4 linked regions of the Drosophila melanogaster genome follow. The protein of the gene in region 3 interacts with the protein of the main gene of each other region in a pairwise test. Each region holds a gene or a part of one and is shown on either strand. Other genes may lie near its edges.

Evidence for each region.
Region 1: the proteins of Vti1b (region 3) and CG42806 interact in a two-hybrid assay, tested with the Drosophila melanogaster proteins (one large-scale study listed by BioGRID).
Region 2: the proteins of Vti1b (region 3) and CG7272 interact in a two-hybrid assay, tested with the Drosophila melanogaster proteins (one large-scale study listed by BioGRID).
Region 4: the proteins of Vti1b (region 3) and unc-13-4A interact in a two-hybrid assay, tested with the Drosophila melanogaster proteins (one large-scale study listed by BioGRID).

What each region holds. Positions count from the first base shown.
Region 1 is NT_033778.4:13,961,055-13,967,665, reverse strand, and holds CG42806 (uncharacterized protein), read right to left. Parts: upstream 3,014-6,611; 5' UTR 2,748-3,013; coding exon 2,481-2,747; 3' UTR 2,211-2,480; downstream 1-2,210. Other genes in the region: CtsL1 (cathepsin L1), read right to left, coding at 1-636, 697-911, 5,330-5,446, 6,401-6,472.
Region 2 is NT_037436.4:15,497,678-15,506,298, reverse strand, and holds CG7272 (uncharacterized protein), read right to left. Parts: upstream 5,362-8,621; 5' UTR 5,209-5,361; coding exon 5,039-5,208; intron 3,463-5,038; coding exon 3,057-3,462; intron 2,992-3,056; coding exon 2,881-2,991; 3' UTR 2,530-2,880; downstream 1-2,529. Other genes in the region: CG7841 (uncharacterized protein), read left to right, coding at 1-72, 151-410; CG7857 (uncharacterized protein), read left to right, coding at 1,486-2,080, 2,142-2,485; CG7275 (uncharacterized protein), read right to left, coding at 5,791-6,346, 6,403-7,117, 7,170-7,239; CG7276 (uncharacterized protein), read right to left, coding at 7,538-8,053; CG13455 (uncharacterized protein), read right to left, coding at 8,383-8,621.
Region 3 is NT_033777.3:18,396,246-18,402,767, reverse strand, and holds Vti1b (vesicle transport through interaction with t-SNAREs 1b), read right to left. Parts: upstream 3,060-6,522; 5' UTR 2,977-3,059; coding exon 2,818-2,976; intron 2,758-2,817; coding exon 2,548-2,757; 3' UTR 2,429-2,547; downstream 1-2,428. Other genes in the region: Wdr37 (WD repeat domain 37), read left to right, coding at 301-454, 575-1,136, 1,194-1,941.
Region 4 is NT_037436.4:7,307,821-7,316,203, reverse strand, and holds the start of unc-13-4A (unc-13-4A), read left to right. Parts: upstream 1-3,307; 5' UTR 3,308-3,464; intron 3,465-3,973; 5' UTR 3,974-4,275; intron 4,276-8,383.

The sequences.
Region 1 (6,611 bases), on a different chromosome or scaffold from region 3:
TTGTCGCCCCAGGTGGTGCCCCACGAGTTCTTCACCAGCCAGTAATCCTCGCCGGACTCGTCGGTGCCGAAGCCAACGACCAGCACACCGTGATCCAGATTCTGGGCATCACACTGCGGCTCGTTGTAGACGCCCTCCGAGTAGAACTGGAACGACTCGTGGGAGGCATCGATGGCGACGGAAACGGGACCAACGGTGGCCACAGCCTCGGCCATCTTCTTCTCATCACCCTGGGGAATATCGGTGAATCCACGATCGGTGGCTCCGACTGTGCCCTTGTTAAAGTGGCACGAGTCATCGATGGCCTCGTAGGGATAGGACTTCTCGGTATCGATGCCTCCATTATCCTTAATATAGCGGAAGGCATTGTCCATGAGACCGCCGTTGCATCCATTGTTGCCGTACTTGGTGGAGCAATCGACCAGATTCTGCTCGGACAGCGAGACGAGGACACCGGACTTGCGGAAATGCTGACCCTCGAGGGCGCCTGTGCTGGAGAAGGCCCAGCAGCTGCCGCAGTGTCCCTGATCCTTGACGGCGGTCACAGCTCCCTTGGTGCGCCAGTCCACAGATTTGGGCAGCGTCACATGAGCCGGCGAGATGAAGGTGACTCCCTTGAAGCTTTCATCGGCGGCACTGAAAGCGAATGCAAAGTTGAATATGTGCACATTATAATCCTTAACGATCCCAACTTACCGCAGTTGCTTGTGCAGAGTGTAGTTGAAGCCGTTCATCAGCTGACGGAATTCGTGGTGCAGCAAATCGGCGTACTTATTGACCGCCAGTTTGAAGCTCACCTTGCCCTCGGCGAATCGCTGGTTGTGCTTGGCAATCTTGTGCTTGTTCTCATTGAAGATCTTGAGGCGGAAACGCTCCTCGGTTTCATCCTGATAGTTCTTGCGGTGCTCCAGCTGCATAATGAAAAGTATTAGTATTAGTTAGATAATGCACTCTTATCAAAGGTAAGTGCTACTATCGATTGACTTTCGTGTACTTGTTTCAAGATAAGATAAAGCCAACCAAATGAAAAGTTAACTTTTTAGACGCATTTTTGGGAACTCTATTAAAAATCAAATAAAATGTTTTACGTAAAATGGATTTACGATCGCTGAGGCAAAAGTTCTTAATCTGCAGATTACACCTTATCACAGCGCCGTCAACCTGGCACGAGCGAAACGCTCTAGAGGAACGGCCACAGTAGCAAGCTCTATAAATCTATAAAACATGGTCATAAAATTGTGTTTAACGATTGCCCAACGACAGGAACTTGAAACGGGTGTTAATGTTCCAGGTAGTAAACAAACGAGCCAAACTGCAGGTAGGAATAGGAGAAGCGAGGCCAGCACGAGGAAATGCGCTCCATCTGCCTGCAGTGGTCCCGTGGATAAGAGACCTCCTCTCCCAGCTCGGGGTTGTTTGTTAGTCCGACCCGCATATTGACACAGCCACAGCACGAAAATAGCACGAACGCTAAACAAATGATAGCTATAAAGGGAATTGAAAGGCCAGGGCAAGAAGTCGACTAGGTTGCTATCCATTAGATTCGGCAAATGCCACTATATGGGGGTAGTTTTCGATTCAAAGTGAAATTTGTGAATAAAAATTGACTTCCTCTTGTCTGAATACCAAATTAGCGGCTTTGCATAGAATCGAAAAGTTTATGAAAGTTAAGTTAAGTATATAGAATTATTCAACAAAACTCATTATTACTGCTCACGAATATCCAAATAGCAAACATGCTAAACTGAAATGCATTTTCCAAAAGTGTTTATTGCTAAACTGGTTATTTTTTTGCGACTCTTCAACGCACTCAAAGTGGCATGTTTTCTCAGTGAAATATGGGTATAAACCCAAACCTAATCGCTTTTTAAGTGGCTCACCACAAGTCTTAGTAGATTTTGCAATATTCCAGGGTACTTGGCACATTGAACTGAACAGTCGAGTGGCGCTGTCATGTGAGAAACATGCATGTGTAATTACTTTTGGACATCAAAGCGGACCAGCATCAGCAATTGTCGCCCCAAATGGACCGGATGGGGTCCACTGGTCCGTGGTTGACTCCTATAATTGACATAATTGAATCGAATTCGAGTCTTGCAGCAAAATGAAACCCCGCCCGTTGTGATTTCGAGGGAGGAGGTGGTAACGGCAGAAAAGAGGCGCCTCCCGGCACACTGACCTATTGATTTTCCTTGCAAACGTCGTTGGTTCTCGTTGCCGCATGATAAAATTCACACATTTATTGTATACTTTTGTAGAAAATTTGAATTTGCGATATATGCAGATAGAGTTAACAACTTAAAAACACCGTAATTAAATGCACGTGCGATCCGATGTGATATCCAGGCACTCGACGTATACGTTTTGTATCTATCAATCTAGATATACTACATATGTGGCTTAGGAAACTTCGTTGCAGTTGAGAAGCTTGGACGATAGTAGTTGAGTATCAGAGAGCTTAGCTAGTGCGATCTCCATCCCTACAGTCGCTCCATCTCGATGGCACAGCTATCGTCCTCCTGATCCGCATCCGCATGCCGTTCCGTTGTCGAAGTGGCCGCATAGGAGGAATGTGGAACAGGTTGTTGTTGTTGCTGCAGCTCCTCCTCCTGGCATTTGTATTCCCGCCGCTTGCGCATAATGTAGGCGAAAACGAAGCCATTTATGACCAGCATGGCCAGGACAATTATCGTCGGCCAGACCACATCCACCGATACATCCAAATTATTTGCACTGGTATCGGTCATTCTTATGCTGTGATTGCTCCTCCGTGGTTTTTATGTAATTTATTTGCTATTACCGCCCGTCTCCCTGCGATTTCGTAGCACGTTTTTTACGATGACGCGCGTGCTTTTCCGTACTTCTACTACCACCGCTGGGGGCCCCGTCTGACTTGGCTCCTTTTATTTCTTTTCTCTCAAATGTTCTATATATTGCGCTCTGCACTGCTGCTGCTACTGCCTGCCGCTGGCTGCTCGAGCGTTCCGTTGGCGTGGAGCGTCGGTTCGGGAATAACAAAAATACGACAGAGCTGGCTGCTTCGCTTTTGGTGGTGGTGGTGGTGATGGTGGTGGTCCGCTCGCAAACGCAAACTCAATCGCATGACGGCGGGGCGAAAAAGAGCCGAGTTCACACACGCACACAACACACTCTACACTCTTTCTTCGTATCGCCGAAATCGAAATGAGAGCCCAATCTACGTAGGCCAACCAATTTGGAGGATGGCAGGCGGGCGTACTCTATATATTTCTTGTTTCTTATGCTTTTTCGTATATTTCCTTCTGTTTTGCAGCGCGCGCATTGTGGGTTTGCTCAAAAAGGCGAACCGGTTTCATTTTGATTTATAAGGATTTCAGGCGAGCTATTCAAATATGTTTGCTCCAACCGGTTAGCAGAAGTAACAGATTTAAAAAAAAACGAAAAAAAAAACAGAAACTTATGTATCTTTAATAAAAAATGTAAGAAAAGAGCCGCATGCTGCTTTTGCAAGTCAGCGAAATTTTTCCCAGCTTGTTTATTTACGGCAGCCGATTTGTTTGTGCACTTGTCACTCGGGGAATTAATGCTAGAAATCTCTTTCGGCTCTCGGAAATGCCAGCGAAAAATGGCAATTTGATAAGCAACGCCGATTTGTAGCGCGTCATTTCCAAAATGCTCGCGGCCCCCCGCACGACTTGTTCTTAAATATTGTTGTTGAATATTTGCCGAACTATGCGAATAGCTGCTTAAATTAAAACGCATTAATCTGGAATTTTAGAGCTTATCAGTGCCACAGTTGCTCAACGCTGACTTTTGCAGCTGTGCATTTGCAACCGACAACTGTGGCACTTTGGACTGCACACACATTACAGATAATGTCGTTTTTATTAACTAACTATAAGCAGTGAGAGCTAATGGTTGGCATCGTTATCACATTTAAATTGCGCGCCTTTCATTCCCCAAGCAAGCATGGGTAGCACTGTTTGCAGCAGTGTGACCGAGCGTTTGCAGTATTCTACATGACACCTAACGGTCTCGAAATGTAAAATGGCAAATGTAAAGTAATTGTGAGTTTATTTTGAAAAAAAAAAGAAAACTAAATCTAAACTAAATTAGATGATCAAAGAAAATTTAGTTAGGTAAATAATATATGAGTGGGGAAATTGCAAATGTTTAGTTGATTTTCTTTTTATTTTTAATTAAGGATGAGTAACTCTTTCCATAAATATGATTCCTATTCTTTCAGTTGATCAGACTTTGTTATTTATAAACAATAATTTAATACACCACTCTGTGCTTACTCTAACAAATGAGTCACTCAATTGAATATGATATTTAACAGCAGATAAAAAAAGGAAGGGAAATAAAGTTATATGCATATATTGCATATGCGGGTGCATTTGAATTTGAATTCGAAAAGTGAATATAAAACCATCAAAGGCAAAATATCCAAAGTTATTAAACCAATATGCATATATAGAGATGTACATATATCCCCCTTATCACATGAGATCTCTGCACAAACAGCTAATTATTATTTGTACGCCCCCATTTGGGGCTAATGACGCTTGGCACGGAACTATTCAGTAAAATAATGGAAAAAATCACGACCCCTGACTGTTGGCGATAAGAATTAGACGACACTAGGGGCGCATTCAATTAATCAATAGACAATCCACCATTGATAAGCAGACGAAGTTGCAAGTGAAGGCTGCGAGACAAAGGATGATTGGCCCAATCATCAATGGAACCATGGACACACATATATATGCAATAGAAGGGGGCAAAAATCGAAGTCGCATTAGGAAACATGGCTTGCGAAAAGTGTGATGGCAAATATGCGACCCGCGCCTTATCAGTCGGCCGGCAGTGGACCAGTTTGAGTCTTGCACGGCTTATCGGCGGGAAATGAACCGCGAGCGTAGCGAAAGTGGGCGACACAACGACTTGGATTATCTGCCCATCCAGCCGATGTTTACGGATGGGCTAAGCAAAGCAGCCCAGCTTGCCGCTTGCGGTCATGTGAGCCGGCATGTGACTGGACGACAGCCTAGACTTTTGGACTTATCTGAATCCTCCTTCCGTCTCTTTGAGGCAGCCGCGCAGCAGTGCATTCACACTCGCAATGGCTGCTGACTCAGAAGTCAGAAGTGCGGAATCGTCACAAACGGAAGAATGCCGCGCGTCCAACTATGCAAACAAAGTCGGACAGAAGACAAAGGCCCAAAAAAAAAATTAATGGATTAATCATCATTACACATCAAGCCCTTGTTACCGGAGAACACTTGTTATCTGCCTCTTCGGCCTGGCGAATTAAATATGATCCCTAGATGATCCGGTTGAAACTCACCTTGAACGTATGCCATTCCTCCATGACCACGTCGGCGAAGGAAACGGCCTGAGCCACCGCCAGCAGGGCCAAAAGTGGCAGCAAAACAGCTGTGCGCATTGTGATTTGTTCTGGAATCTGCAAGAAATCACACAATTAGTAAGCAAACTAACAATCGGAGTGTCGGTCACGTGAAGCCACTAAACCAGATTGCAAAATATCAGGGCTGGCTCACTAACTTCGAATTAAAGTAAAATACATATTCTAAGCTGCTCGAGCGATAAAGGAAAGTTGTGAATAAAGTCAGTTTCTTGCACTTGTTCATGATTCATACTATTAAATTGTGGTTAATTAGCATAATTTGTGCTATTAAAGTATTAGTTTTATCTTAGCAACTTTGTCATGAGCCTAAGCAATATTTTAATAAATTTCTAACGATCAAAATCACTGCAAAATATTTAATATTTATTGGGTAAAATATGGAATTTATTGCACCAAATTGCAATTTATTGCAAATTTATAATAAAAAAAAGGTTATTAATATTATTTATTTATTTGAGGCTAACTTAATGTATAAAACTATAAGCAATCTGAGATCTAGCAATAGAAGCTTTGTAAATATATTATTTTAATTCTTTATTAAATTCGTAACAGACATGGTTTTGAAAAACTAGTTTTTAAATATATCATTGTAAGCATAGAAAAGAGTGAAAATGAAAGAATAAATAACGGTTCAAATTTGAGAAATTTGATCCTTTAAAGAAGCTTCTCTCGATTTTAGCGTAAAATATTCTCTTTATAGAGACATAAAAATTATTTCTATAAAACTTGACTGATTTGCGGGGCGTTTGTAAATATATTGACATTTGCTTTGTGATAAACAATATAGTTTAATATTTGTTTTTTTTTATTTTTTCGATGGCGATGCGTTATCTTATCGGCCATTCCACTTTGCCTCGCAGCTTCGTATTGCTTTCAAAGTCTGCCATTTTTGCGCGATTTGCTTCACTTATTGTTTTTCTATCATTGTCTTGCTGTTTTTGCGCCCATTTTGAGAAACGTGAGAGGCATTTGATAAAAGTTGTTATTTACCAATTGTGCCCTCTGCGATTTGTGCCTAGTTCGAGGGCGAAAACGGGTTTCAAAAACGCCAAGGTGATTCATCTGGCTATCAGGTGAGTTAAAAACCACAAAGACTAGAAAAATGGGTCAGCACAAAGGGGAATTGGACAAAATCTAAACAAAGAAGCGCAACAGAATCTAAAGCGCAAAGCAAAAGGGGCAATAAAAACGGGCATAGACG
Region 2 (8,621 bases), on a different chromosome or scaffold from region 3:
CGCCAACCAAACTGATCGAGGATGAGGTGATAACGCCGCAACATGAGGAAATAATACGTTACATAAATGACTGTAAGTCGGAAATATGATTGTAAAGATGTACTTATAAGTATTTAATAAATGTGGTTTACTTTTGTTACTTTTTGGCAGCCTGGAACATGCTGGTGGCGCAGAATCCCTACGACTCGAGCTCATCCGCCAAGCCTGTTGAGAAACCTGTAGCGGATGCCAACAACAACAGCGCCGCCAGTCCAGTGGAAAGCATAATGGCCAACAGCCCAGTGCCCGCTGCCTCGACAGCCACTGTCTGGGTGGAGCCACCGAGTCCAGCGCTACAGGACTTCAAGCCCTTCGACCTGGAGTCGTGGTGGGGACGTCGCCTCTTCCAGAACATAACCAAAAGCCTGTAGGACCGATCGCATGGGATCGAATGAGTGGCAGAGCCTGATCTTTGTCAATTCCTAGATAGTCAGTGCTTCCTTCTGTGCATGTACGTTCGACTGGACATGGGCAAAATCACACTAGATGATAGTGGGCGAAACGAGATGTGACGAGAGACTTGCTTAGTTTTCGGCTAGCGACTAAGTAAATATCACTTTGGATGTTAGTGGTTGGGAGGCCACCGTGGTGGCAAATCTTGGCATAGGTTCATCTCGCATATAAGTGTGTATATGAAGTAAATTGAGAGTCGTCGCCGTTGGCCAATGTAAATAATACGATTTCTGATTTACAATTAAGAATGTGTTATAGAGTTATAAGAAACGTGTCATCTGGATGGCTTGCCATTTTTTTTTTAATGTCAACAACACTCATGTGAATTGTATAAAGTATAAGGTTCAAACTAACATCAATTTAATTGCAACCGATTTTGGTTTTACTTAATTCTGTAAATGCCGATTCCAGTTTAAATATTTGCCTGTACATACTAAAATAATTGGATTTTATTACGTCAACTCTAGTTAAGATTTAGAAATATCCAAAAAAGGAATTGGTTGAGCCGATTTCTCACCACTGGCGTTGCCTGTATTTAGTTTCTCACTATAAAACGATTTATGTTTAGCATAAATAAAATTAAAATCAACAAAATTATATTCGCTTTTAACAGAAATATTTTAAAAGTTTAATTAATGGGGGGAAAGGGAATGCGAGAATTTACTTTGTGTGATGCGTAACAATGAATGGAGATTACCCTCTTTACTTACATTAGATTTTTGTTTAAATTTTCCATCCCAAATGATATAACAAGAAATAAATTAGTTTATTTAAAGATTATTCACTATATTACAGAAATTTCAAATTTAAACTTGGTCTATTTCCATACAGTCAAAATACTAAATACTAAAGTAAAATAAAGTATATTATAACGGTGACGATATTTCCGACAGCTTTCGGTATATAATAACGCAAGCTGGTCACTCTTCCAAAACCTGCCAAAATAATTTTTTGTCAGGATTAAGTTTATTGTTATTTATTAAATAAAAAAACATGTGTGACGGCGATGTGGCAATTGCGGAGCTGGAATCCCGTCTGGATGAGGTCAGTCTGGAGGACATAGGTGCCAGACATCGTCGCGAGCGCAAGGATTTGCAGGCCAAGCTGCAGGCCATGAAGAAGAATGCGCCGAAAAATAATAAAAACAAGCGGAAGGAGTTCCTGGAGGAGATGGCTCGCCTGGAGGGAGAGCTGGAGCAGCGCCACAAGGCGGAACTGAAGGCAGCGGAAGCCATGGAGGCACCGGTGTTGGTGGAACCGGTCGTCAAAGAGCCAGCGGAAAAGCCAGAAACTGAAGTGACAGACGATGATGGAATCGAGGAAAAAGAGGAACAGCTGGCGCCCAATCAGCGTGTTTCCAAGGCACAGAAACGCCGGGACAAGAAGGCAAAGGAGGCACGTGCACGAGAGGCAGAGATCAAGACGGAGCTGCAAAATGCTGCCAATCAGCCAACGCCCAAGTTAATCGAACTGCAGCAGATTACAGCAAAGCTATCCCAACGCCAATTATCCCTTCACAATATACCCTCCGATGGCGACTGCTTATATCAGTCCATCAGACACCAACTTATCGTAAATGCTCTTCCAGGTAATGCTTCACGATTCAGTCCACACAGCACCAAAACTAATCCATAATAATTGCACCAAAGGTCACAGTGTTCAGGAGTTGCGGGAGGAAACTGCCAATTATGTGCGTGCTCACAAGGACTCGCTTATCTCATACATGATCCACCCGGAAACAGGAGACATTCTGAACGACCAACAATTCGAACAATACTGCCACGACATAGCAAAAACTCACGCTTGGGGTGGCCACATAGAACTGAAGGCCATCTCATCGCTACTCCGGGTGCCCATTGAAGTTATCCAAGCGGAAGGAGCACCGACGCTCCTGGGGCAAGAGGAATTCGGTGGATCACCGCTGATCATCTGCTACCACCGCCACATATACCAATTGGGTGCCCACTACAATTCCACGGTGCCAGCAGCCTAAACGGGAAATGCCCAATGGCATTTACCATCAACTCACTCGATTTTGTAACAGATTGTTTTATTACATATTATGTTGACTTTATAAATACGTATGCATTTGGAAGATTTGAATTATTGTCAAAAATTGCAAGTATGTAGTAGTTATATACAATAATAGTCAATATAATAACAATTCTAGGTTAGCTAGCAACTTAGTTAGCTGGATTTGTTCTAAGAAAATATTTCCTATATAGAAAAATAATTCGTTTAGCTCAAATTTAGTTTTCTTGTGGCGGTTTAGTGTAAATTCAAGCAATAATTTGATTATTCCTCAAAGCCTAGCTACTTATTACTTGGTAATGTTGTTGCAACAACCCATTATTTGTCCTTTTTTCTAGGTAAAGCGTTCGATTTCAATTATTTGTCCTTCTTGCTGTCCTTGGGCTTCTCGGCAGCCGGTTTGTTGGGATAAATAGCGAACATGGAGAGCTGAATGCCGCCCAGGACCAGCAGCAAAAGGTTCTGCAGCTGAAATAGAAGAATTTTCGGTTCAAATTTACATTCTCGTTTAATAGAATTAATTGCTAACTTACCACCATCACAGTATTCTTGATGGAGATGGCATACAGCGTCCAGGAAAATGCCACCAGATTACCGGCAAAGATAATCGGGAACGGCATTCCCTCGGTGCTCTTCTTCTCAATGATTTTCGGCAGATGCAGCAGGGGAGAGCCCACCATCCAAACCAGGATGCCGGTGATCAGCATTCCCAGGCGGAACTCAATCTTGGCGGGATCCTCGAAGTTGGCATACGCGGTGATGGCCAATAGGAACACCGAGGAATAGCCAATCTGCTTCCAGATCTTGCTCCTGCTGGCGCTCGAGGCGTAGTAGTAAAATCCGAAGAGGAAGACGAAGTTTATCACCAGGCCGATTAAATTCGTATTGATCATGGCAGCATCATTCATAATGTTGGCCAGCTTCAAGCTGAGAACGGTCCTAGAAAGTTCAACAATTTGTTAATTAGTTACTTTAATTTAGGACAAAATTTGGTTTTTATATTTAAACAAAAATGTAATACTGTTACCATTCATATTCATTTTAAAATATTCTTCAATATAAGGCTGGAAATTTTATAAATTCCAGTTAACTTGTAGATAAGAGCATAGTTTTCTGAGGATATTATAATTAATTCAAATTAATTGACCCTGCCCGAACCAGTTTTCCAGCAGTAAGTCGCTACAGAAAGTTCGAATCAAGAGAAATGGAACTAGTTTTCATTTAAAGTGCTCCAGTCTACCACTTCATTGAAAAAAAAAACCAGTTTACACTTATTAATTGCGTTATCAGATTCTATACTAGGTGGAGATAGATAAATAAGCATAATAGGGCCGGCGTGCAAATCATGGTACACGTAGCATTTGATAAGGAGCTCAACGCTCAACAAATAATCAGCATTATCATCGATCAACCTATAAACAAACCCACAACAATGGTGAAATACACCCGGGCTGGGCGAAATGAAATGCAAACTGGCCGAGGAACCTGCCCTTGACCGAGACCTCGAGCGCCCATTGGGTGGAGTGGAATTCGTTTAGCATACAACTGTTGCTTCGCTTGCATGTCTGCGGGTCCTTACACTTGACACAGTCCAAGTTAACACCTTCCGGAAAACCACCCCCAAGTAAGCCCCGGCGCAGTGATGGCACACTCACTTGATGGTACTCATTCACTTGCTGCCATATGGCACTTTATGATCTTTTGAGATGTTCAAAACAAACAGTGGAAAGTTTACGATTTAAAAATAAAAAGGTAAATTCCTCGAGAGTTCATCTACATTTAGTGCTTTAGCCAGCAGGAATTTGGAATTGTTTAAAGAAATGTATTATTACGGAAACTATAGTTAAAAAAATATTATGTTTTGCTAAGCAAACACTATTATTCATATGCAGTAATGGACAAGCCTTACGGCTATAATTAGAGAAGATTATATTTATAGATGACAAGATATTCCCATCACCACCACTGGGTGGCCCACCCCCTTTGGAATCTGGGCAGCCCCGCTTTATGCCGAGCACGTGGAGAGGGCGAGTCGCGTATCTTTCGCCCGTCGTATAAACGATTAGCGGCTCTCCCAGATTTGGACAGACTCTACCGGATCAGCATTCGTAATAGAGGAGCTCTAAAATTATACACTCTAGATAAGAGCTACGTGTTTGGAGGGTTCTCGCATCGATAAGGCGGCAAAAGTGCTGCTGGCGGATTTTCGACAAGGTTAACGATTTCGAAATGTAACGGTCGCGGATGATCGAAGTGTAATTCCCATTTGGCCAACGCAGTGATGTAATCGATTCCATTGTTATCTTCTTGAATTGTGTGCAAAACCGATTCACTGGCGGCCTTGAAGAGACTCGATTCTGTGCTGTCATGGCGACAGTTCTAAAATTTAATCAATTCCCACACAGATGCGTTGGCTTTTGTTCTTTTCACTCGCTTTTCCTGCCCCCTGCCCACTAGTTTTTTTTTCGATGTCGCATGCAGTGGAGCATCACGGAATCCCAATTAGGTTACTTACAGCACCACTCCGAAGAGAAATGGGCCCACCGGGTAGACGTCGCTGCTACCCTTCTTGCGGATGTCGTTCATCAGAACCACTCCGGACAGAAATTGCAGGGTAGTTATGGTGCCGGCTACCTTGGCGATTAGTTCGCTGTGTGGCGCCAAGAGATCCCCCAGTGCCTCCATGATTTCAATGACTCTCAGTTGATGCCTTTCAAACGGGTTATGTGGGAACGGGAGGGGGGCCGAGTGCCGCGCGAGTATAAACAAATGAACGAAAACAAAAACTAACGACCGACTGGCGGCTGCCGTAACAACAAACGAACAAATACTGAGCACCAACGGTGGGGCTGGCAACCTTTTATAATCGAGAATCCCCTAGAAATGGACGCGTCTCTCCGATTTTCCCCAAACGTTATCGCCCGCGAGGGCTTATCGGATACGAATTGAATTTCAAATTTCCGCGAAACGTTGCTGCATGGCAAAGCAAATGAGTTTTCTCTCTAGAGCAACAGGAGAGTATTCCTTAGAACTTATCAACATCTTCTTTCTTCTAGTATCACTGAATTAAAGCCAAACAATAGTTTAAACTAAGCAAATTCACTGATAACTTCGGTTTGACTTGACCAAACTGAAAGTCACTTGAGAACAATGATAGAAAGTGAGAAACTCAATTGAGATTAGGCTTCTTAATATATACATACATAGTCTCCTTACAAAAATCAATTTTATTCAAACTTATCCAACTACAGTCGTTAGCAATCATCCTCACACCTCCTCCTTCAGCACATGCTTCTTTTTCTCGCTGACGTAGGGCACCTTCTTGCTCTTCTTGGTGTGCTTGCGCACATTGGCCTCCTTGACCTGCTCCTTCTCCTTGACCGTGCGCATCTTCTTCTGTGCATTGAGCACGTGACGCGGCACCTGGCGATGGCGCGCGATGCGCTTGATCTGCGGATGAGCGGCATACTTTTGCTTCAGCGCCTCCTGGTAATTGAAATTGACGCGCTCACGTGGACGGATGACGCCCAGCTTTTCGGAGGCATTCGCCTTCCACATGCGGACGTTCATTTCGTCGGAGCCGGAGAAAACGTATCGATTATCGAGGGACCAGGCCACGCAGACCACATGCTGCATGCGTTTTGTGTGGTAAATATCCCGCGAGTGACTGTGGTGGGCATTGTAGATCCGAATGGTCTTGTCGTAGCTGGCCGAGACGAATTCCTTGCCAGTGGGCGAGTAGTCAACATCGGTGACAGCGGAAACATGGTCAAAGTGAACCTTCAGCGGCGTTTGCAGCTTGCGAGTGTCAAAGGTATAAAGGCTGTAAGAAATAAAGATTTTAGCAACACATCCTCTTCGTATGGCCGTTTTACTCACTTGCAATCCTCGTTGGCCACTGTGAAGTTGAACGCCTCCATGGGATTCCACGCGAGCTTGTTGCTCTTCATGGTTAGGACGACCTTCCTTAGTGGCTGCGCCTCTCTCTGATCGTACAGGATAATGCTGCGATCGCTGGCACAGCACGCCAGGATGCTTGTTTCCACGGGGTTATAGGATATGGTGTGAAGGGTATCGACGCCCCACTTCAATGTCTTCAAAGGATCGTTGTGCCTTTCGTCCCAAATGGCGCATACCTCGCCACAGGTGGCGAACTTGTTATCCCTGCGATTGTGCGAGATGCCGTGCAGTCCAAATTTACTCAGTATAGTGTTCACCGGCACCTCATCCTCGCCGACTTCCGGAGCCTCTGCTTTCCAAACCTTGATGGTTTTATCATCTCCCACGGTGAAAATGCGACCTCCGTTCTGGGTGTAAGCAATGCCGCGAACGAAACCGTCGTGGGCCACAAAGTTCCGAGAGCTGATACGATTCGCCAAGTCCCAAATGCGCACTTCGCCGTCATAGGCGCCGGTGGCCAAGGTGGAAAGTTGCTTGGGATGCTTTCCGAAGCAGGAGACTCCATCGCGATGCCCGCTCAAATTGCAGACGAAGGGTTTGGCAAATACTCGATCCAACTTGGTGGCATTCAGGGCACGCACGTATTCCCTGGGACCCTCCAAAGGATGCAGCGAAGGATCGTAGTTCCTGGGCACTGAAAGTGGCATTCTTATAATACTTTGGTCTTTCTTCGTATATGAACTTACTTTTGTGCTGTTGCAGTTTGGTTTCTCGGACATAGTTATCCGGATTGCGACTAATCATTTTCACCTTCATCCTGATTGCATTTATTAAGCTTTTCTGCGGCGTAAAATAAAATTAATCGTGAGTTTCGAACATAAACAACATGTGCGTGCTACAGTGTTGCCATACAGAGCGGCTGTCAGCTGATTGTGTTGAGTAGTGGGTGTGGTAACACTAATGCAAAACCAATAGGGTAACACTGAAATTTGAAATTTTGGAGGGAATTCTTCTGAGTGTTGTATGATCAATCAAATGCAACACAGTTCACGTTCATTTTATGCAAATGCATAATACTAAAAAATTTCTTATATTTGATTAATTGTACATCAACCTAGTACTGATAGCAACCAAAAACGGCAGCAATGCAGATAAAACTGCCACCATCAAAGGTGAAGGTTATGTAGTCATCGGACAGCTCATCCCAAATGGCGCGAGCTCCGTAGAAACATCCGGCTCCGGTCTGCTGGTAAAGCATTACGTTCACAACGTGCTTGAATCTTGGAGAAGAGCCGCGTCCCTTCATCTTAATGTTTATGTCATCGGCGACTTCGCGGGTCCATTTAAGGGCTTCCGATTGATTATAGGTCTTGTTTGCCAGCTTCTCCTTGACCACCTGGGCTATCATCAAGCGAATGTACGGCAATGGGAACTTCTTGCCGAATGCTGGTCCCATGTTGTAGTAGTTATAGATGGTGACATCAGATGCCGGCTTATCCTCATTCCCAGGCTCCCATTCTTCATCCGAGTCACTGTGGGACATTACCTCGGATCGGCTGTCTGCGCTGACCGCGGACGCTCGAAAGGACTCCTTTGCAGTCGACAAGGTTTTGGGTCTTTGTGTCGACATTTTTGCGATATTTTTATCTGTGTTTCGTTCAAATTCCAGATAAACTTCGATTGCAATAAGTTAAGAGAAATAATCAGACAGAACAAATTTTTCATGGCCATCTAGTTTTCCAAAGAAAACACAGTGATTGGTAAATAATAAGTTCAATTTTCGCTTTTTAACCTTTTTTGCAATTATAAAAAAATCTATTGTTTTGTTAGTTTTTTATTTCGCATAAACATATTTTTGTTATTTTTTTTTACACTTTCCATTGTCTAAATGACCCAATTTTTTCTAGTTAAAATATTTCAAAGTTAACCTAACGTTAAGTAGTAACCAAAAGTGAAGATTTAACGAGCTGAATGCCTGTAACGTCGAATACGAGGATGTCGATTGGAGAGATTCTGAATGTAGGTGTCACTACTCTGCTCTTGACTTGAGCGTTCCCTGGCCTTCGGTGTGAGCAAGTCATCGACTGGATTCTGGTTCTGACACTTTTCCATTTCCTCCTTTTTGCGCTGCTGCTGCTGAAGCTCGTGGACTTTTCGCAGGCAGCAGCAGTTCCTGAGCGCATCCATAAAGCACTCTA
Region 3 (6,522 bases):
CACATCGATAACACTCGATACACACACCAGCTGTTCCGCCCGCTCCCCCCGCGCACAAAAACACCTGCAATAAGTATATTATCATTGCGAAAACCAAGTGCAACAGCAGTTCCCCAGTCAGCCAAAGAGGCAAATGCATCGCCAGCAGCGGAAGATGGATCAATAGAGCGCGAGTCTGCAACCCCTGAACACTAATTGGATTCCCCCGGGCGCTCTGCCCACCAGGAAACGGATATCGCCGACCAGCTCGGCTCAGAAAATCACTTGCGAGATACACAACAAAGAGGCGAAAAGAAAAGCATGAAGGCTAGCAAGACACGGGCTGTGCGCCTCACCAGTTTGACGGAGGACGTGGCCGCCGTACCGGAAGATGCACCATTCCGTGCACGCCTGCACGTCCTCTTCGCCCAGATCGAGCGGGAGTTCGAGCAGCTGTATCTGGAGAACCAGGCCCGTAAGTAGCTATATAATCCACAACTCCTTAAGGTCTCGTTCATAAACTTTAATATTTATTGCTTACATATGTCAAATTTTGTATAGTGCACGCATGATTAAAGCCTATTCTCTGTTATAGTGCAGGAGAAGCTAGACATAGCCACCACCACCAAGGAGTCATTGATTCCACCCGATGCCAGATCCGCAGCAGGAGGTTCAATGAGCACTCAGGCCTCATCCGCAGCTTTGGCCACGCCTGCAACCCAGACGGATGAGGTGGCGGGCAGCTTCCTGGCTGCAGCATCCAGTACACACAAGAGCTTGAAGGCCAAACTAAGCAGCGCTACCGGCGGCAGCAAAGCCAAGGCCAGCAACAAGATCAAGGCCCAAACCAGCCGCATTGTGTCCAGCTTTAAGGCGCCCACAGTGGTCAGCACGGTGGTCCGAGAATTCGGCGGCCACAAGGATGGCATCTGGCAGGTTGCCGCCAAGGCGGGACAACCCATCATTGGCACCGCCTCCGCCGATCATACGGCCTGCATCTGGGGCGTGGAGAGCGCCAGGTGCCTTTTGCAGTACCAAGGGCACGCCGGCTCCGTAAACTCCATCAAGTTCCATCAGCAGCGAGATCTTGTGCTCACCGGCAGCGGGGATGGTACTGCCCACATCTGGCAGGCGGCCGTCAACTGGGAAGTGCCCAAGTGAGTAACTTTGCAATATATTTTATAGTAGTTCAATAATCGTTGCATGATTTTCAGGAAGGGCCATTCTTCAGAGGAGGAACTGGACGACAGTGATGAGCAGGTGGAAGATCGCGATCGTGTGGACACCTTACGCACTCCGCTCTGCGAGTTCACAGGCCCCGGCGGTCATCTTTCAGTCGTGGTGGCCGCCGATTGGCTCTCTTCGATGGATCAAATCATCACGGGCAGCTGGGATCGGACTGCCATCCTGTGGGACGTGGAGACTGGCCTGCCACTGCAGCCGCTCACTGGGCACGACCACGAGCTCACCCACGTGTCGGCACATCCCACCCAGCGCCTGGTGGTCACCGCTTCCAGGGACACTACGTTCCGTCTATGGGACTTCCGAGAGGCAATCCCAGCGGTCTCCGTCTTCCAAGGGCACACGGAAACGGTTACGTCCAGTGTGTTCGCACGCGACGACAAGGTGGTGTCCGGATCAGATGATCGTACAATCAAGGTCTGGGAGCTGCGCAACATGCGATCCGCCTTGGCCACCATTCGAACGGATTCCTCGGTCAATCGTTTGGCGGTCTCCACTGGTGGAATTATCGCCATACCGCATGACAATCGACAGATCCGACTGTTCGATTTGAACGGGCAGAGAGTCGCCCGATTGCCACGGACCAGTCGGCAGGGCCACCGACGGATGGTGTCGTCTGTAGCGTGGGCGGAGGAGCCGCTGCTGGACTGCGATCTCTTCTCCTGCGGCTTCGATCGCCGCGTTTTCGGCTGGTCCATCGTTCTTCCGAAGGACAATTGAAGGCAACTGAAGCGGAGAGCTGCTGCACCAAAGGAATGAGGAGGCGCAGCTCTGCGAAATCCCAAACATCTCTCGAACAAAGAAGCATCCCCAAAGCGATGCCCACATACTTACATATATGTAACCGTTTATCATAGATCAAGTATTATGCAGACATTGTTCAGGATGTTCTACTATCTCGTTGTCGCCCACTGAATGTAATTAACGTTGCTTTTTGCCAAATAGTCGTGGCATAGCGTGCTGCACGAACTACATATTATCATTGTTATAGCATACGTATGTATATGCGTTGGGACTGGGCTAAACTCTTCGGAGTGCAGAGCTTCCGATGTCCAGACCCGATTTTATCTGTGTTTTACTACCATAATACATATTATAGACGTCTAAGGCATTAACGCTTTAGCCAACATGAATAAACATAATCAACCACCCGATTCATCGCTGGGTATATCCTAAAACTGACCTTTTTGAATTGGAAGTGCATTTTAGTGGAGTATATACATTTATAAGCTTATTAACTAGGACAAAGAATTCGTAACGATTAATAGGTATATATAGTCCATCGCCTGTTTGGTGGTTACGACTTTGGAATAGAATGGCATTGGCTCACAGGTGAGCGAACTTCAGCACCAGCAAGCCGACGAGTATGCCCACCTCCAGAATGATAATCAGGATTAGGATGATCTTGTTGTAGAGCACCTCCCTGCTCAACTTCCGAATGATGACCCTCGATTTGGACAGATCCTGATCGGCGTCCTCCAGGCGGCGCGTGGTGCGTAGCAGCGACTCCCTCTGCTCGCCCAGTTCGCCGAGTACCTGTTGATGCGTAAGCGAGCATTAGTTAGCCCTGTTAATGGCTACTATCTGGGTAATTACCTCCGCCCCCATGTTCTCCGTTTCGATGGCAATCTGGTTGGATCGCTGGATACTGTCCGTCGTCCGCTGTAGCACGTCGTAGGTGCTGGCCGCGAGCTGCGCCTGCCTGCGCTCCTGGTCGCTGCCGCTGGGCAGCTGGCTATAGCCGGCGTAGGACATAATTTGGTAACAGCTTTTAATAAATTAAATGCGATGCAGTGGGAATATCAAAACAAAACAAAGGCAGAGTGTGGCCGTGGTGAGCGGTGCAGTGAAAACGCTATTTGGTAAGGTACTAACGCGTTGTGCGTGGAGCCACCTGTTAACACTTTATGCACTTTACAGCACTTAAAACAGTTGAAATTTAAAATGAAACTGTTACCAAATTAGCTTAATATTATTTTATATTCTAAATTCTAATTAAAAGTTTAAATTGTAAGAAGTGTTAGTTCAATTGGTTTTTTTTTGAGATTGGCTTCCTCACTATCAACAAGCACATCTAGTTACTGCAAAAATATCACATATTAATGGTGATTAATTGGGTGATCCTAAGAGTGATTAGGTTTTTGGAAACTGACCATTTTTTTGGTAGACACATGTAGCACTCGAGGATTTTGACTTTAGTACGGGTATTTGTCGATTTCTGATTTGCGATAACGGTCACCGATCATACATAGTTGGCATGCCCGCGCCGAGAGAGCCGCCTGAATTCACAGGGTGTGTGTGCTGAGTAACAGAGAGTGCGAGGCATTTCGAGGCGATCGCGAGATTTTCGAACCGAAGTCGCGGCAGCGAGTGCCAAATTTAAACGCAGTCGATCGCTGGCGGTGAGCAGACGTGTGCTGCGCTCCATTCAGATTCAGATTCGAATAAAGATACTCTCGCTCGGCAACAAACAAGTTCTAAATTTATCGCTCGCACTCGCGGGGAATCGAATCTGGTGTGTCTTTGACATAAAAAGCGTTTTCGGAGCTGTGAAGGTAAGCGAAAAACTCGAAAAAACTCGAAGCAACTGGAAAAACCCGGCGGGTTCGAGGTGTAAAAGCTGTGCCACGGGTTATCCACCCGTATATATCCCATATCCCCTGTAAACTAGCCATCCAAAGCACGTGCTTTGGCAGCAGGGAGTATGTGCAATTAAGCCCAATTTGAATGCACTTTGGCACGTGATGCTGGCTGCTGACAGCTACTGGTCGGAAAAGTGAGCTTACTGGGGGCTGCGGGGCACACCTGTCATGGGACCCATTGTGCAAACACCTGCCAGAAGTCGCAGCTAAAGTCAGAGCGGCAGATACGCGTAGCGCTATCTCTTTCGTAAGCCCCGAGTATCTCTGAGATACTCAGGTACGCACCTACTACGTTCGCAGTGTGTGTGTGTGTTAGTCGAACCCTTGTCATGTGAATATAATACTCTCCAGAGTATCTGTGAGTCGCGCTCTCTTTGCAAAGTCGCGAGTTTTCGAGTTTTATGCAATCATCATAATCATATGGGGGGGTTCTATCATGTGATCTTTTTCTCGGGGTCTCGGTTTCCAGAAGCCTTGCGTCCCCACAAAGATCTCCAGCTGGAACGGAAACCCTAAAAGCTGGGCTCGAGTAGTTGCGAATAGCGCACAATAAATACCAGTCGATTATGATTTATGGATCGCTCTATAAATTGTCCAATGGCACTTCCAATCGATCAATCAGTATTGCGCTGATTAGCCACAGTCGCAGACCCAGTTTATGAATGGGGAAAATCTGATCGATTCTAGAAATCTAGCAATTTCACATCTGAAGTATAGTATTTTGCCGAGTTGCACACAAGTGCTCCTGGTCGATCGTCCAGTTAATTAGCTATATAAAGCCAAAGCCCGGCCACTCGAGTCGCCGATCTCCAGTTACGTAACTCTATATGTATGGCTTATCGGGGAAGTGGTCGGCAAACACTGCAAATAATGCTGACTTTGATGGCTTATTTTTCTGTATTCAATAGTATTGCGTAAAGAGGCTATTTATAAGGAGTTGATACTAGCCGATTTATTAGCTGGCTCCTGTTTTACAGCTCTATATAATTTTGAATTCCCCCCATTAGTTCGATAATATATGAGCATAATCATCTTTGTGACGCAATGAAACGGTTTCTTCGCACAGAAGCAGTTGAAGAAAATGAATTGAACTGACAATTGGCGTTAATAAATGATGGTGCGGACTGTTTTTGTTCCTCGATCGCCTCCACTGTGGATTCACATTGAATTGGTTCGGTTATTCGTGCCAGCGAGTTCTTAATTACCCGCAGTGGAAAAAAAATGGTTTTGTCATAAAACCGAGCGCAAAGGCACCATAAAAACTAGAAGTTATATTCGTATTCGAATTAACAACAAATAGCGAACGGGAGAGCCAAAGCGCAGAGCGATAAAGAGAGAAGCAAACAAAACAGAGCGCAAATTCAACGAAACTTCGAAGTGTAGCGATATTAGCCTACTCACACATGGGCGTGCGCCCGCTCCCAACAGCAAAAAAGGGGGGTTGTCAATGTCAACCGCTCGTTCGCTCTCTCGGCGCCGCTCCCTCGCCCACTCAGCACCTCCTTCTCCACTCACCATCGAATAAATGTGATTAAGGCTCACCCACAACTCGCGTGTGAAAGCCAAGGAGCAGCTACAACAACTGAAACAACAACATTGCATCTGAAGTACAGTGCAGCTTGCTTATGTCGCTCCGCTCAGTGATAAAAGCTGAAGATTATTATTGCTCTCACAGCTATTGTTCTTATTGCAATTTGGGAAGTCTTACATTTCACCTTCTTACTTATTGTCGCAATAAGTAATTATTTTAATTAAAGACTTCTGGACATTTAGTAATAATAAAAGTTTACCTGTACATCGTGATAGGCGCACCCACACTCACGCACACAAGGCTAGATTGACCAGCAAAGCAGTGAAGAGGTGGAGAGAAGAAAGCGGGAGAGAAAAGAGAAGGCGAAGAGAGCGAACGGCACTTAGTTGTTGTTTTGAAGTCGAACTGGTTTACAGTTAGCAGTTAGCAGTTGCCTCTCAGCTGGCTCAGTGTTTTTTTAGTGTTCGAGCTGTGCGTGTGAACTGTGATATTGCGATATTGGGCTATCGCAATTGGAAACTGGACTTTTGGTTGAATTCATTATAAACGAAAGTGCGCTCGTTGAATCATTAAACAACATTTGAGCAGGCGAGTTACAATTCTATTACCGGTTTTTTTTTTAAAGCCAATCGAGTTTTGGAGGTAATTCTCGTCGGCGGAGGTAAGGGTTTCATGTGAATTTATACTAATTTATTGCATTTATTATAATTGGAAGCTTAGTTTTGTTCCTATATATTGCACAGCAGTATATCTTTAATACTATATATTAATTCTATTTTGAGTTCAGAGAGAAATATAAAACTTGTAAATAGGTTTCATATCTACATATAATGCCTAGGTTAAAGTCTGAGCCATATCTGTTTCCGCTTTTAAGTGATAAACCTTCAATAGTAAATTACCTCAAACAATGAATTATAAATAAGAAGCTTTCCCATTCGCTATTTTCTACGCCTTAGAAAGAATACAACACGTCGTAACGTTTTGATAAATTGCTAGAACCTAATTGGTCTATAAGTTTGTTCTTACATTTATTATTAAGCCAAGTACTAGAAATGCCGTGCACTAGGGTGCTTAAAAATGCACACCATTAAACCATGGGAAATCCTTCAAATGTGGTTTCAAATTGCG
Region 4 (8,383 bases), on a different chromosome or scaffold from region 3:
TCAGCCAAAAACAAATTGTCGCACCTTGAACTGCCCGCAAAAGTATGCTATGCTTTTTCATTTCACTTTTATTTATTGGATTTCGCTGCAGAACGAAGCGAGACTACAGATACTGTATGTGAGGAGTCAAACCCTTTTGCTGCCAACTAGAACATGGCGCACATACATTATAATTCCCTGAATTACGGAAAGAAGAACCTAATATACCAGCTGCGACTTTCCGCTTAATTTTTTCTGCGTGTCCTTTAGCCTTTAAGCCGGACTCCATAGATAACTGGGCGGTCATCAGTGGAAAGGGATAATTAGTGAAAGTGATTTGTGTCGGTGGTTGACTTGATCGCTCTGAAAATCAGTGGCACTTCAAGAGCTGTTTTCCGTCCATTTAATTTGCATTCCCTGCCCGACAGTCGACGACTCCTTTTACAACATCCTTAAGCTGCGCTTTATCCTGGAATTAAAAGGCAAGCAGGTATTAAAGTGGAGCTGCAATGTACCCGGCTTTTGTCTTTCCCAGCCGACTAATGAAGCTGGGCAAATGCATTTTGCTGAAATTCCTAAAGGATATAATTTGCATTCCATTCAAGTGGGTCGGGTATTTGAGGCATTTGCTTGGCTATTTGTATTTTTAATCAAGCAACATTCTGTTTGCCTTGCTTGTCTACAAACTAAACATGCAGTTCTTTTTTTTAATTTAATGGATTAATTCAGTAAGCTCTTTACGGATTTCGAAGCCAAGTTAGCTAACATTTTAAATAATTACACACTTTACTGTGTTGGCATTTTAATTATGGTAATTTAATCTCGGCTTTATATCTAAACTAATTACACAATATTCTGGCATTGCTTTGAAAAGCCAAACTAAAAGCTGGTTAAGCCTAAAATTAAAGCGCTTGAAGGTGTGCAATCCTCACCGTCTATGGGTGTATGGGTGTGTGCGTGTGTTTTTGGGGCAACCAATCAAAGTTCAAAAGTTCACATCATTGACAGCGAACAACTTTGGCTGCTTTGGCCCAACTCAAATTAAGAAAAGATAGCTGGCAAGCAGTAGAGACGCACAAAACTTTTATCATTTTCACAGTCCAAGAGAGAAACGAGAATAGTTAGTTACGAAGTACATACTTACCACCCCAAGCACCCGCAGTCCTGCGACAAGGACTCTTGTTCACCTTCTCGATATTGTCGCTTATTTAAGCTGCTTAATTCCGTTGCCAATGGCATTCGTATTCTTTTTATGCCCTTCCGAGCTAACAATCAATCACAGCCTGGCTGACGTCTGTTGACTCCCGGCCAACAATGCATGATGCAAAAATGCGTCGCATTCGCACCTCCATTCCATGGAGCAAAGGCCCACAGGACCAACAGGACTCGCAAATGCCAAAGCCCCAAGCCAATCAGGCGGAAGGTATGGGTGCGACTGCAGATCTGTGGGCACGGAAAATGCCTTCGATGCCCGGACACACACACACACACACTGCCTACCAGTGCTGCCCTTCCGCCACCTCGTTGGATGAATCTGCGTTCTGCGTTCTCCGTTCCTGAGCGCCGTGTACGTGGAGGCATGAAATTGGGTCGCCTGGCGAAAGGCGGGGTTCTGGGTCATCGTCGTGGCGGAGCGTTCCGCACGGATTCGGTCTCGGATTCGGGCAGCCGCAGTTGGAAAAGGAAAATGCCAACCATGAGACAAAGATTGCGGAACTAAATTCCTAAATAACATGGAAATCTATTTTGGGTATTTAAGAGGAATGTGTAGTCCTTGCATATGCAATTTTGCAATTGACAATTTTTGGTTGCTATCGGTGTACACTTCAAAAAAATCATGTTAAAAAAATAAGCAAAAATAGCAAAAGTAACTTTAAAAAATATATTACTGATATTTTACAATAAAAAATCAATAAAGTTGATTAATCTAGAAATGTTTATACCGTTTCATTAAATTTAGTTTCATGAATTTATACCATGTTAAAAATTGTGATAATTATTTATTAAGAGAAAATTATTTCTTATGAAATAATTGGGAATACGTTTGCTGAACTTTTTTAGTGTGTAATCTTTAGTGGCAGGATGCGAGTGGTTCGGTTCGGATTGTGGCGTTTGCTGGGCGTTGGGTGGTGAGTGGCCAAGGAAGGAAGCCAACGCGCGCTAAGCGCCGTCGCTTGATGGAGCTCATCATAATTTTTGGGGCGCCATGGTGGAAAGCAGAAGGGAAACAAAACAAATCGAAGTGGAGCGAACAAGAGCAACATGTTGAAGAGCGCGCGACAAAAGAGAGAACGGCGAGAGCGAAAGCTTTTTCGCAGCTTTTCGAGTTTTCGGCACTAACCTTCATCTTGAACTTCACGGAGAGGAGAGCCATATGTTTGTGTGCGTGTGTGTGTGTGGGTGTGTGAGTGGGTGGGTGGTTCGGTTGGACGTATGCTCCATTTCTAGGCCAAGTCTCGACCCCCTTTTACCATCCTTGGCCGTAAAAACATATGCAACAGGAGGGAATTCATTCATGACCAACCCACACCATTAAGCAGCGGATAATCGTAGTAACAGACGGAGCTTTGGTAGAGCAAGTTTCGTATTGCCCAAAGAAGTGCCATTATGTTATAGTTCTATAATAAATACTTATTAAAATCTTCTTGAAAGTGCAATACGCATATGATATTCACAATATGTTTATTAAAAGACTAATAATATACTTTTAAAATGGTAAAAAAATTTAAAAAAAAATAATTTCATCAAAACATTGAAGTTAAATTTGAATAAATTAATTTTAAGGTTTGAAGTACTAATTAACCACTTAAACATTAGACAAATATTTCTTAAAGAATATTTTTATAACAAATAACATCTTTTTTATACGACCATGTTAAAACTTCTTTGTTTTATGCTAGAGGAAACACAATAGTAATTTAAATTCTTAACTTGACACAAACTTATGCTATATATTCTGAATTTATTAAATAAAATATGTCAGTCTTTGCAGAAAGCATAAAAAAAATTTGAAATTCAAATGTTCCTAACGGTAGAACTCCCTGTTGAGCTTTGTTGAAGAGAGTCGGGATGTTGGGAAAAACTGAAGACTGAACCGACCGAGCTTTCCACACACACTCTCGCTCTCTGCGGCTCTCGCGCTCTCACGCACACCATTGCCAGCTCTTATCAAAGGACAACGGCTGGCTGGAAGCCAAGCCAGCCAGCAGGACTCGCATTGAGGATAGCACAGGAGCAGCAGCAGGAGCAACAGCAACAGTGCGATGGATGCACGGCTTATAAGGTAAAGACCGAAACTGGAGCAGCTCAGTTCGCTGTGGGCAGGCGTCGCAGAAGGTAGTAGCACTATTCACCCAGCGGCAACAGAGGAAGTCCAGTCGGCAGCCGAGGGACCAGTCAGTCTCCCAGCCAGGAGTCAATCGAATCAAACAAAAACCCAAAAAGAAAAAGAAAGATCCTAGAGCAAAACCGACGGCGGTGTGAAAGTGAGTGCGCGAGTGCCAAATGAAACGTAAACGTAACGAAACGAATAAGCCAAGCAAAGCAAACTCCTCGTCCCTAAACTAAAACAAATTGAATTGAATTAAATTGGGAGAGAGGTGGAGCTGCAGCAGCAATTAAAACCAAATTGCTTGCAGCTAAACGACGAAGGATAAAAGGGGCCAACCGACGGGATCCGCCCGTTTATGTCACGCTGCATTTGCACATAATTGCAAACTGTTGCGCGGCCTGCAGTTTCGCCTTTTATTGCCAGGCAATAAAATAAAAATCCATTTGCCCGAAACCATTACACTCCCTTTAAAAAAAAAAAAATAAATCCCACGACAACTGTTGCACACAGGACACAGTATACACCACATAGGACTTAGGACGGACACACTGAACGCCATACTACACCACACTGCACTTGGGGGCCACAGGACATAACCATTTGTTTTACGATCTCAGCCTTGGTCATGCCCCATTAAATATGCTTCTCAATGTTTTGTTCAAGTTGAAACGGAAAGCGAGAAATGAGAAATGAAAAACGAAAAACGACATGAGAAATACCAAATACGAAAAGTGCACAATCGAAAATTATGCTAAAATAAATATTACAAAAGAGATCCGCATAAAAGCGAAGTAGACTAACACAAAAAAGAAAAAGTACAACAAAAAAATCCTGAAAGCAGAAGCAATTTGCATCAGAAATTCCGTGTTCTGGTCAAAACGGAGCAGCGTGTCAATTTATGCAGCCATAAAAGTTGAAGGCGAACTCGAGAGCAACCGAAACGGAAAAGGATTCCCATTCACCAGGTGAGTCCTTGAAACAGTTTTGCACTATTCACTCGAAATGGTTAATAAATCGACAGTCTGCCAGCGACATTCGCAGTGCAATTAATGATAACAACCAAAGCATTCAATGCTCTTTAATTATTCATGCCAGTCTTCATTATTGATTTAATCCTTGTAAATTCCGCGCACGACTAACATATGTACATATGTGCGATATAATAGTGAATACATGTATTATTTACACCTGAGGGTCCTTTGGGATTGCGAATGTCCGGCTGAAAGTAATAACATCAGACTGAAGGGGCGAATCGATGATATAAAATCCGTTTTATTATTGCAATAAAGTATTCACGCAATTTTTGCAAATCAATATTTATGTTCGCACTCAGTCGGCGAACGATGCATTTGTTGTTAGGATAAATCCCGGAAAGTCGAAACGGCGCACATGGCGTATACGTAATGCGTATTTTCTTTAATCATGGCAAACAAATATTGACGCAACGCAAGCGAGCTGGCCGTAATATTTTGATGATGTGGATGCCTTGGGCGCATTTAATGACCACCGCTTCCTTATCGTACCAAACTATTATGGCCACGTACACGAGTATTACGCGTATTAAATGGAATATGTCGTCTAATTTGCTGCCGTATATCATTTAACCGCGCTGCCTGCGAAATGTGCAGCTGTTGTTTTTATGGCTTTTGCTCGGTTGGTTGGCTTGGATCGGTTGCATGGCCTAGTGGGGTATATAGAATAACAAGTGTCTGCCAAGCAAAAACGTAAACAAAAACAGCAACAGGCCGATGGGATCGGTACATCCGCAGTTAATTAAAACTCAACTTCAATTTGGCAACTGTTCAGTCGCGGCTGGCTAATTAAATTTATGCAAAATCCGTGTCAATAGCACACACACACACATACACACACGCAGCTGTAGCGGAATGCAAATTTCAAATCAAATTAAGCAAGTAATTCCACGGTGGCCCACCTGGCGTATGAGTGCTGCGGCTCAAGTGGTGCCATCTGTTTAGCTTTGCTCCATAGCAAAGGCAAACAATTAGGAGGCAAGTTAAAGCTGAAGGACTGTGAATGGGGCAGGTTCATTTGAATACCCTTAAAAGTGATTAATTTTCCTGTCTAACAATATAACCCTCAATCAGCTCTAAAAATAATCTTGAAACTTTTCCCCACAGACACTAAGAATTGTTTACGAATATAAGCTTCACTTACCAACAAAGGATGTGACCTTTGATAAGTTAGGGTATTGATAAAAGGCGGCACGGTGAACAAACGAAAAGTGTGGCACCGTGCTTTCATGTCAACTTTGTTAATTAAATGAAGCACTTAACATCGGCGGACATATTTCACCCTTTTTGGGGTGAGCTGCGTTTTGTTTTCCCTGTTTATTTTTTTTTTCGTTTTTCTTTTTTATTTCGCTGACTACATAATTCGGTGTACCAGTTCCATTTTAATGACTGTCCAGTTCCGTACTTCTTATCATAATTTCCATTTTGACTTCCGTTCGCCGTGCTGCCACTTCTGTGCTTTATTGCTCGTCCTTGTGCCGCCCATTCCAAAGATTTTTCGAAATATTGTCCTTAGACTGGGCAACTTCAAAGGATTCCGTGGGCCACTGTGACTTTTGCCTTTTTCCGCTGCTGTTTTGCATAATGGTTACAAACAAGTTGTTTTTCAATTTCATTCTTCCGACGCTAATTGCAAGAAAAATGTTTAGTTTCGATGAGAGCACAACTTTTGCTACACTTTATTATTTACAGTTTATTGCTGTTGGACAATTTGTGCTATTTTTTCGGGCTATTTCCATTGTTTTTGACATTCCCTGTTTGTTTTGCCAGCTGCAATTGTTGTGGTTTCTGTGGTAAGTTTGTTAGGGAATGGCTTAAGGGTAGTGAAAAAAAAAAACAAATGCACACTGTTTGCAACGCAAACCACAACTTTATTGCATTCAAATTTGTATTTCCAACAAGTTTTTTTTTGTTTAAATTGAATAAGAACAAAGCGAAAACAAATAAAAAACCAATTCTATGCAATATGGGCAATCGTAAAAATGTAAAAACAAATGAGTTTTGTATTTCTTGAAGAATTTATTTTGTTCGTACGGACATGAACCATAATTGATAAGGATTTGAGTTCTTGGTCTAGATAATCTTCAAATATTTTTTACTTTTGGTACATAAATTAAAATGGATAGTTTGGATAGTATCTTGTAAACTTTAATCCTTTAAGGTCCTGGTAAAAAGTTTTAGCTCGTATTCGTTTGGCCTTTCGTATGCCATTAGTAATAGGATCTAATTTGGTTTTGTTAAATTTCGAAACTACCTACATGATGGGTCCTTTTTGTGCGAAGCTTCTCTGTAAGGTTGCCATGTCAATGAGCTCACTTAGATTCAGTATTCCATTCATATTGCTCTAATATGCGACAACAAGTATCCATCATTAGCTTGATATTCCCATATCGAGTTTCCACCTCCTTCCCCTTTCAATTTCCGATGACCTCTGGCAGAAATGTCGCAAAATATTGTCGCCTGCTGTGTTCCCAAATATTTGTGTTATGTCGCCGACGATGAGCGTCAAATCAGAATTCGATATGTTCAACAGCCAAAAGACGGTTGGCTATGTGCTAAAAGCAAATGGAATTCGCAGCTGAATCGAATCGAAAATACCCTTGTCACAGCAGACGACATTACATCAAAGAGTCCTTGAAGGAGTTATTAGCATGCCCACTGAGTTATGAAGGGTATGACAAAAATGGGCAATTAACCTTATCAAGACGCTGCGTGCTAGTAAAACAAGGAATGCCAGCGAAGATGTTTCCTTAACATCGTTAAGATTTCGCAGTAAGTAAAAGCGACACGGCGAAATGAAAGGAAAAAACAAATAAAACAGGACGAAACCGAAGCCGTAGCCTAAAATATACGCCATTAGACAGACGGAATGCCAAAGCAAAGGCAAAAAAAAAGTAAAAAAAAAAAAACAAGGAGTGGGCGAAGGGTCCTTCAACGGGGTGGCAAAGGCAAAAAGCAATTTCAAATATTTTCGTTACCTGCTTGTAGAAATTTTTACGTTTTTCTGATTACGGAGCCAAGCTTTCGTTGCCTGCTGCCTCTTTTTTTTATTGTTGTTGTGTAATTGTGCGCACCAAAAAAAGGGGGGAAAAGTGGGGGAGTTGCCCAAAAGACGACGGTGAAATGGGTTAAGGGGACAGGCAAGCTGTGGAGCAGGAGAACCTGAAACAGCTGAGTGGTTGGCAGCACTTAAGGTCCGACTCCAAGGCTCCATTCTAGACATTTGAAATGCAAAGAAGCATTGCATACTTTTCCACATCCAGCGAAACAGCATGGAGGCAAAAAAAAAAACACTGCATATTATAGCAGGTGCACTGGCATTTCGATGCAGCCCAGAATGGCAGCGAATGTTCCTTTCGAGGACCGGATTTGTCAACCAGCCAACAGGACGAAGAGGTTTGCTTATTAACCATAGCATACTTAGCAGCTGAAATGGAAATGCTGGCCAAAGTATGCTGAAGAAGTCGTTGAGTTGTCGTGGCAAAACTTCAGATATAATTGAGATTTGTTTTAATATTTGTGAAATGCTCAGAGAAATTTGCGTACTAAATGCACACGTGAATTGGGTTGAAGAGGCAAGTTGGCAGTCATCAAAGGATTGAAGGAAAAGTTGGTTAGAACTTTTCTAAGGATTAAAGAGCTGTGCAAAAAATATTCTTTGCTGTAGCTTTGAAATCCAGAATAAGTGATTAAGTTCAAGCTGAGTAAGGCATTTATTAAAGTGGTAAAAAGAGCTGTCATAATAGAATGGCGCCCAAATGTATGCAACATATTTTAATTTTGCTCAAAATTCAAAGCATACTTTTAAACATTTTTAAAAGTGCCTATATTTTGAAATATCAAAATAGTAGCCATATATTTCCAATTTAAATGGAGTTCCATCCGCATGTCTGGCTCTGTTTATATTTAGCTCTGCGGCTTAATAGCTTCATGTTCATGCAAAACCGGAATTATCCTGCGGAAAAGCTGCTCGCCTACTGCTCTTTTCGATCTATAAATAGATTCAGCTCCAGCTTCAACTGTTGCGCAGCAACCGCCAACT